Linked DNA regions of Drosophila melanogaster. The protein of the gene in region 3 interacts with the protein of the main gene of each other region in a pairwise test. Each region holds a gene or a part of one and is shown on either strand. Other genes may lie near its edges.

Region 1 (3,130 bases), on a different chromosome or scaffold from region 3:
GCTTCTAGCCTTATAGCACCATGTCCAAGGTGGGAGTTGTGCAGTTGCAGAGGCGTCTGGATGGCTTACTGGCCTTCCTCAATCCGCACTGGGATTTTGTCAATTGCCACATGGTGAACTACTTGACGGACCAGCACTGGGACGGCTTTTTATCCGAAACGCTGAAAAGTGAGATCGCCGGCAAGGAAGATGTGGCTCTGGCCATAGAAGACCTATTTTGGAAAACTGATGAATCAGAAAGGTTTCCGGCATGGCGAGAATTCCTAGGCAAGAGCAAACAAGAACGCCTGTCGCTTCAGAGGGTCAGGGGAACTCCACGCAGCTAAGCATTCGGGAGTTTATGAGCGCCAAAAAGTGCCATGAGGTAAGTAAACCAACCATTTTAAATGAGAGTATTTTAGGAATTGATTAATCTCTCCGATTAGGTGGATCTAACAGCCGTTCTCGTGGACCAGCTTGTGAAGAACTCCGGTCAAGATTGCTTCATTGTAGACGCGGGCGATGGCAAAGGGTATTTATCCTCGCGCTTGGCGCTCCAGTATGGTCACCGCGTGCTCGGCATCGATGCGAACGCGGCAAACACCGAGAACGCATTGAATAGGAATCGCAAATTGCAGGTAGGCCGGGCTTACAAAATAAAGTTAGCTTTATTTCATTACGTTTGTAGACTTAGAAGTAAGGTGTGGGTGTATGTAGGTGAATCCATTGGCTAGTCGCGCATTTCGCCCTCCTCGTCGTCGTCCTCCATGCCCTTGATATACAGCACGTTGTTGCAGCGGATGAGCACCTCGCCAAGATTACCAGTCACGGAGCCCTCGATCACTTCCTCCGTGTTCGCCAGCTGCATGTTCATGTAGCCGTCGACGGAGACCAGGAAGCCCTTGTACTCCTGGCCCCACTTCAGCTTCACCAGCACCGGTTTTCCCGTCAGGCCGTTCAGGAAGGGCTTGGGGTTAATGGGCATACCAGCCGACATTCTGTTTATTTGATTTTTCCTGCCTTTTTTATAAAATATTACAACAAGCGTGCCGAAAATCGCCGGCTTTTCGCGTTTTTTTTGTGTAGTGTGACCACAGCTGCGCTGTGTAAACATACCAGAACAAGAAGAAGAATAGCATAGAAGAAGAGTATTGAAAAACCATTCAAAAGCGCCAAAATTAAAATTTTATTTAATTTCAGCGCGCTTGGAATGGCCTTACGGAACGAGCGGAGCTGCAAGTCCAGGGAATCACGCCCAAGAGACGTGGTAAAAAGTCGCCAGCCAGGGAGAGCACCAAGAGTGCGCCTGCCTTGGAAAACTACAAGACAACGGCAAAGTTTATAACCACCGAACTTAACTTTGGTGCCCTGCTGGCGGAGAATTTCACTCAGTTTAGACCGGAAGACAGTCCAAACATTTGCCTTACTGGATTGCATACCTGTGGCAACCTGGCCGCCACCTGTCTTCAGGTTTTCCACGCCCAAACGGACTGCCGGTTGCTTTGTAATGTTGGCTGCTGCTATCATTTGCTGCGGGAGCGCTATTCGCAGCAGGAGTTCTTTGGCAATAAGTCCCTGATGGAGCTGCAAACAGACTATGGATTCCCATTGAGTCAGTACCTGCGGGAGCGACAAGTGCGAATGGGTCGCAATGCGCGGATGCTGGCGGCCCAGTCAATTGAACGCACCTTGGACACCAAGGAGCTGCCTAATGTAACGCTCTACTATCGAGCTCTCTTGGAGATTCTGGTTTGCCGCCATGCGCCGGAGCTGAAAAACGAACTGCAGGTGGGCAAGGTACGGAAATTCGAGAGTTTCGAGGAGTACATTCAAAAGTGTGCCACCAAATTGGATGCTCCCTGGTTGGCAGCTGTTGAGAAAGAAGAACTTCAATCCCTGCTCCAGGAATATGCCGTGCATAAATACTTCTTGGATCTGTTCTATCTGCTGCGCATGTCCTTTGCTCCGGTGCTGGAGAGTCTAATTCTCCTGGATCGCCTGCTCTACCTCAAGGAACTTGGCTATGAACGCAGCTATCTGATAGATTTATTTGATCCCGTCATTTCGCCCAGGCATTTTGCAATTGTTTCTATAAAGCAGCAAACGCAACAATAATGAAATTCACAAATGCATCAAAAGCTTGACGAGAAAGCCGGTTGTGTTTAATTATTTATAGATTATAGCGTGCAATACTTTTCATATCGTATATGTATTGCGTTAACGCTTTTAAAAATCTAACTAAACCATAGCACACAAAAAGTAAATAAGGTTGTTAAAACTAAGAATCATTATAATAAATGTAATCATGACTTGTAATTATCTTAGAGTCCCTCTGGATTTGCTGTGGTTTGTTTGTCGTATTTTAAAGCTTTTTCCACCACACAGGTGAATTTATAAGTATGCACTTGAAATTGCTATCTCAGAACTTTTGAGACTTTCGAGTATAAAAACGCAAACAACATTTCAAATCGCCCCAAGTGCGGTGCGTAGAGCTTTAATTGTCGGTTGTGTACGCGGGTGCTCAGAATTTATAGATCCAATAAAAGTTTCCTTGAAATTGCTGGACAAACTTGTTGCGAATTAGGCCAGTTGCAAATAAATTGTGTGACTAAAAAAACCTGTATATTTTCAAAGTAAGTTATGAAATTCGGTATACAAAATTGTATATTTTAATTTGAAAAAGTGTGATATCCTTGAAAAAACCACACTTAATATGGAATTGAGGGCAACTGTGAAAATTAAGATTACTTGGTTACTGTTACTGTTACTAAAATAAATAGAGAACTGGTTTCTAAGAAATATATTTTGGACATTTGCTCTATAGAAATAGTAGTCTCATGTATAATTAATAAAGCTTAGGACGAAATCCTTGCTGGCAAATTTTTAGTGTCATATTTGCTGCCCGAAAAGATTTTCTATTTAGCTTTACAAGCAGCTTAATTGGGTGTAGATATGGCGGGAATTACTATAAGCGTATCATAAACACTCATTGTAATGCTCCCTATCATAACTAATTGTAATTCGCGTTGGAATGGAAAAGATAATGCCAGCTAAAAATAATTAAGACGGCTGATTTAATAAAATCTAGGTAAACATGGGTAGCAAAACACTCTAGATTGCATTTGAAACCATCGACCGTTTCAAATGCGAT
Region 2 (3,043 bases), on a different chromosome or scaffold from region 3:
TTAATTGCTGCACTGGCCGTAATGGTAAGTGGTCAATTAAAGCAACCATCCAGCCACCATAATCAGCCCATTAACATTGCCCTTGGCTGAACACAGTGCTCCTCGGTGCGAGTCCAAGCCACGCTGCACGATCTGCCCGGGGTCTTTGACTTCTCCAATGTGGATCTGGTGAACTTCCAGTACTTCAAGAACCTGGCATCGCAGGATCCGCGCACCGCCGCCACCGCCAATCCACTGCTGGTGCATTTTCAGAAGAAGAAGGCGGTGCTGGACTATCTGGACCGCCTGTTCTTCGGCAACTCTCCGTTCCAGCAGCCCAGCGAGATCCCCTTCGATCCGCATTTCGGTCGCTCCTGGCGTCCGGTCTACGAGCGAAAGTTTGGCTATCGCGGAGAGCGCCTAATCGCTGCCCTGGGATCGGGGTATTCGGTGCCACAACTGCGCCACTTTGGCGCCATTCCCCGCGAGTATGGCACACCGCACTATCCCAGTTGAGTGGGGATTGCAATTTAGCGCCTCTAGATAGTGTATTTATGGAATAAACTTAAGAAACGAAGCAACGAGGTCTAATGTATCGGGGGTATATCAAGAACTACTGGAATTGGTTTGTATACAGGATGATGAGAAGTTGGTTCAGCTTTAATATTGAAGTATGAAACACTTGTGTTGTCGCAGGTTCCCTCTGAAGGAAACAGAGGAATCAGAGTTCTCTAACTACGAACTTCATGGTGCCATGCCAGTTGAGACCCTCCTGTATTCAGACCCTCCGCTTCTGCGTGGAAATGTAGAGGACATTGTTGCCGCGGATGAAGGCGTCGCCGTACTTGTTCTTCAGCTGCCCATTCACGTACTCCTCCGTCTGCTCCAGGCAGATGTTCATGTAGCCATCCAGACAGGCCAGCACACCTGGAATTTGGTCAGTGGATTGGGAAAATTGTCAAATGTGATGAGTGTGTTTGGGAACTCATTGAACGCACCTCGATAGTCAACGCCGTTGTTCAGCTTTACGGCGACGGGGCGTCCGTGTATCTGATTGATGAACTGCGACAGGGCCTCTTTGCGGGACATTTTCAATAGATGATTTCAAAATAAATGCAGTTTACAAAACCTTTTGGCAGCAATAATAAATAACAAATGTGAATACAGTTGTTATTTTATGCCGGCAATGCTGCGGTCACACTGCAGGTTTGGTAAGGTTGCAACACAACATTTCGATGTGACCATTGCATTCGCTTCACCAAGAGCGCCATCTATTGTTCAAGTTGAGAGGAATTCAAAAACACTTTTTGGGGTAATAAAGAAAGTTTAATTTAAATAATAGAATACATAAATTACGGACTACATTGCATCTAATCGATATTTAGGACTAGTGAATGCCCTCCAAGGGCGTGTAGGTCTTGTATTGGTACAATTCCGGTCCGCCGTAGCCGTAGAGAAGTTTTCCGCGCCCGTGTTCATCGTAGTAGGGATAACGGTACTTGGGCCTGAAATATATTGTTATATAAATTCAATTTAATATAGTTTAAATTGACAATTGCATACCTTTCGAAGTACTGGAAGTTCGGTGCTTTTGGCTGCACTGTAGCAAAAGTTGTGTGCGCCACAAAGGCCACAATAAACAAAATTAGCTGGAAAGTAAAGAAAGTGGTTAATAAACATTAAATATTGGTTTGTTAAAAAGTCAATTGGGTAAAGTTAAAAATTCAATTTTTGTCATTTTTCTAAGCTCCATCTATTGGCGTGAAATTAATATTAGAAATAGTTCTCATAATGTTAGGATTCAAACTTATCGTAATTTATTTGAGTAAATTTATTTGAAGTTAAGAAGTAAATTATTATTATTAACCAAATGATTTAAAAATTTTAGATATCCAATCTAATTTTATTACGATTGCAGCAATTAAAAGCAGGGTCGTGCTGTAAGTAAAAGTACGATTTTAATTCGTTTTCTAACAAAAAACCACATCTATGTGAAAGCTAATTGAATTGGCTAAACTAGATTTAGGGGGAAGTTAGATATCACATTTATGCTCAATGGCTCACTGTGTCAGCTGCACGAAAGTGGTAATAAATGCGAGTGCGACGACGGCCAAGAAATCGCTTTCAGGCTTTTGAGTCAACTTGAAAGCAACGGTTTGTTGACGCCGGTTATGCAATTACACCAACAATAAAAGCCACGATGCGCAACTTGGCCACAACTCGTTGCCCGGAGATTATGACACATTTCGCTTGGCGTTCAATTTGGCCAAAAGAGAGCGCGGAAGAGAGCCAGATCGTGTCATTCAAGGTCTCCCCATTCCCATGGCCAGAGAGAGCCTTCGAATTTGGCCCACATATGATTCGAAAATGTGTCAATTGTCTGGCCGCCAAAAAGGAGAAACGAAAAAACTAAAAACAAATGGATTTTGAAAGAAGAACTGACGCGGGCTCATTGGAAATTCAAGTCACTATTTCCGAGCAATGCAGACGGTTTTCTTTTTGGGTGCGACTTTCGCGCAGAAAAGGCGGAAATTGTGTCAGTGGACTTGTGGGCTCCCCCCACAAGGTGTTAATTTGGCAGGTACACTCTAGAAACCAAATTTAACTATCTGAAACTTACGGGCAGCAGCAGGGCACTCAATTTAGCCATGGTTTTTTCGGATATTGTAGTGCTCAATCACTGGTGTAACGGTAAAGCTAAAGCTGCGAGCGAGCGGTACGAGGTTGTTAGCCGATCGCGTTTTGTTTGGCAACTGAATTGCATTGCCAGGCGAGCTACCAAAAGCCGCGCTCCACAAAGAGCGCGAAAAAAGCTTGGAAGAGAGCGGGAGCTTCCAAGCTTGGCTTAAAAAGTTGGGCTAAGACTTAATTAGCTATCTCTTATGATATTTGAAATGCAAGTTAAAGAAGTGCTATAACCAAGAATTTGCAAATTGAAAGATGACAAACTTAAACTAATAAATTTCCGATTATAAGAAGATACAAGATACTATACTTAGTCAAATGTAGAAGGTAAGTTATCAATAGGCATAGTTAATATTAAATATTACCATTTCAAGATTCA
Region 3 (2,932 bases):
CACATCGACTGTGGCTGCTGCTAGATGACTGCAATTAGTCATGGCCATTCATAAAGTTCACTCCGAGTTGCGTTTATCAGTGCTATATCGGTTCTGGGTAAAAGTTTTCCATATTCGAGTTCGGTTCGGTTTTGTTGTCGCGTGAGTCTGTTTCCGCTTGGTTTGTTCCACTTCCGTCGAAGCCTGCTGCCGTACTGAACGCTGGAGGTGCCGAACGGAAGCGGGAGAACGCACGCAGAGCAGAGCGGTACTGCGGAGAGTGCACTGCACCCACACGCACGGCCAGAAGGGAAAAGCGGTTAATATTTATGGCACATGTTGACTGCTGTATCGCTGAGACCCAACATTTTGGGGATGGAGCGCATGCGCCTACTTTGCATGGCAGCCAGAGCACAAGTAGCGGTTGAATGTTAACGGAAAGACACTAAATATTTAATGTGAAGTTTGAATTTTTGAAGCTTGGAAGTCATTTTACAGAATTATTAGCGGTCGACCTTTTTCGGTATTCCATTTCAAGTGTATCCGGTCCCTATAAGCATAAAATATGCTTATTTATGTAAAATTAATTCTATTCCAATTGATAATTTAACAATGTTTTGTATATTAGGTAATATTATATAGTGTTTTATTCTGAGATTAGAGGGCAAATAATTTTCATTTCCTAAGCCAAGCGTTTTCAAATTCGTATCTGTTAGGACCAAAAATCTGTTAACATTGCTGTTAATCACTTGACCACTGCTAACTTCTAACATACCTCGAACATTTACATACGACACAATATTATCCACATTAAAACGACCGTTTTGATATTTTACAAATGTATTTATGTTTACAAATGGAACCTTGCTACTCCGCCAGCTCTCCGCCAGGCACCAACTGAAATCAAATTATAAATGAAATTTAATAAACAAACGTATGTAACTTCGAAAAAGAGCACCCACCATTGTGATATTGTTCCCGTTGAGCAGAATCTGATCCAGTTTGGTGATGCGGCGGCCGTCGGGGGTATTTTCATACTCCGTTACGTCGTCCAAGAGCATATTCACAAAGTCATCGAATCCTAAGAGAGTTCCCACCATCTCCTTGTCGTTCTTCATGATAATGTGGATGCGGGAACCGATGCATTTGTCCACCAATTCTGTAGGGTAGTACGGGAAGCCGGCAAAAGTTAGAAACTCTCGATTTGTAGACCTGTAGCAGATTTACGTACCCAATGGCATTAGGGTAGAGATGTTGGAGGGGGGTGGAACGGCAGTCATGTTGTCGTATGATTTGTTTACTATTATTAACAATAATAATTGGAATTGCGCTAAAAACTTTTTAGCAGCGAGGTAAACAATGCGGAATTCTGCGCAAAAACTGGCCACATCAAAAGTGTCAGCGTCAGTGCTGCAAAATCTTGTGGATAGAGTTAGCGTGAATATAGCTAAACGTTTAAAATTAATTAAAACATTTGTTTTCGTTGAAAACTAATTAATTTATTAATTACAAACTCATTAAAACTTTTTTATGACAAACTTATCAAGATTAACTATTTTATCGCAAGAATTTAAAGAACAATTTGTCAACATGAGGGACCTCAAAACACCCACCCAAACAGCCACCACTATTACCCAGATAGTAATGGATATTTGGCATTCAGTGCCGCGGTCCTACCAATTTTACCTCATAATTCAAGATCAGGAGTTATATATCCAAAATCTTAATCTCGCGGCAGTGCTCCCGTATGTTGGCCATCTGTGACGCGGTGCAGTGTTGTGCTGCCGCCCACTGCTTACATAATGTCCATGTCGTTGGGCTCCAAGATCCGGAAATTGGTCACCAGCAGACGGCACTTCCTGCTTTTGCGCCGATCGCTGAACCAAGGTCAGTTGATTTGAATGCGCCACAACTTTTGGATGATCATGTGATTGGGCGCTTTTGCAGATCTGACAACGGCGCTGAGACCCTTCTACTTCGCGGTGCATCCTGACTTCTTTGCCCAGCATCCGGAGCAGAGGAACACCAACGAGAACTCACTGAAATTGCTGAGTGAGCATCTAGAGGCTTTGTATGAACGCAGACAGCGAAGCGGGGACACCCAAGTGCTCAAGTTCTATGTACGCACCAGTTCAGATGCTGACAAGCGAGACTCCTTCAAGCTCATCCAAATACGCACGGACTGGCAGAGTACCCGAGATCCCAAAACCTTTATTCAAGGTCTTCTGGAGTCATGCAACTTGTCCACGGAGTATGTGAAGAACATTAAGGCCCAGCCTGAGCCGCCAAAAACCTCTGGCTTGGATTTTAAACCAAGCCATGACTATCACTATGACATGGAGTTCGCCGAGTTTGAAACTCAGTTGAAGAATGTTGGTATATAATTTTGAAATTTAAAAAACCATTTATATACTTATTTCCTTAACCCAGGAACGTGCCAGTAAGCGTCCAGTGCTGACCACCTGGCTGGAAGAGAATGCTGGCACAGCCAAACAGCGCTCTAAGGAAACTGCGGATCTGCAGGCCGAAATCGACAAACTGAAAAAAATGCTGGTAGAGAAACTGGAGTTGCAAGATGCTCGTTACGAGTGCGGCTGGAACATTGAGCACTACCGTGGCTGTTTAAAGACCCTTGAGCGACTATCCAACACCCATTTGTTGGAAATGGCTTCCCTGAAAGGTCGCATAGTGGTTTTTGCTCCCTTTACGGGCATCAGTTTAGAAGGCCATGTGATGCTTTTTACTGGTGATGTTCTCAGCACATGGATTGACTTCATCAAGAACATTCCGCACCACGATGCCTATTTAAAGGTGGTGCCCGTGTATGAACGAACACTGTCTCAGGTTCTACTGAACATCCAGATAGGTCGTCGCAAGTTTATGCCCAAACAACAGGCAAGTGGCTATGCAAGCTACCTCATGAAGGTCACCACTTCGCTCAGCGATTACCTGG

Evidence for each region.
Region 1: the proteins of CG6610 (region 3) and SmF interact in a two-hybrid assay, tested with the Drosophila melanogaster proteins (one large-scale study listed by BioGRID).
Region 2: the proteins of CG6610 (region 3) and CG9344 interact in a two-hybrid assay, tested with the Drosophila melanogaster proteins (one large-scale study listed by BioGRID).

Annotation. Positions count from the first base shown.
Region 1 is NT_033778.4:12,183,214-12,186,343, forward strand, and holds SmF (small ribonucleoprotein particle protein SmF), read right to left. Parts: upstream 1,098-3,130; 5' UTR 977-1,097; coding exon 710-976; 3' UTR 631-709; downstream 1-630. Other genes in the region: CG13175 (uncharacterized protein), read left to right, coding at 1-8. UniProt on the Drosophila melanogaster protein: Plays a role in pre-mRNA splicing as a core component of the spliceosomal U1, U2, U4 and U5 small nuclear ribonucleoproteins (snRNPs), the building blocks of the spliceosome.
Region 2 is NT_033778.4:20,975,180-20,978,222, reverse strand, and holds CG9344 (uncharacterized protein), read right to left. Parts: upstream 1,168-3,043; 5' UTR 1,069-1,167; coding exon 978-1,068; intron 907-977; coding exon 758-906; 3' UTR 623-757; downstream 1-622. Other genes in the region: CG15650 (uncharacterized protein), read left to right, coding at 1-24, 97-495; CG34115 (uncharacterized protein), read right to left, coding at 1,367-1,484, 1,543-1,628, 2,600-2,629.
Region 3 is NT_037436.4:6,073,967-6,076,898, reverse strand, and holds CG6610 (uncharacterized protein), read right to left. Parts: upstream 1,364-2,932; 5' UTR 1,260-1,363; coding exon 1,211-1,259; intron 1,139-1,210; coding exon 942-1,138; intron 877-941; coding exon 847-876; 3' UTR 641-846; downstream 1-640. Other genes in the region: CG13295 (uncharacterized protein), read left to right, coding at 1,782-1,866, 1,927-2,351, 2,410-2,932.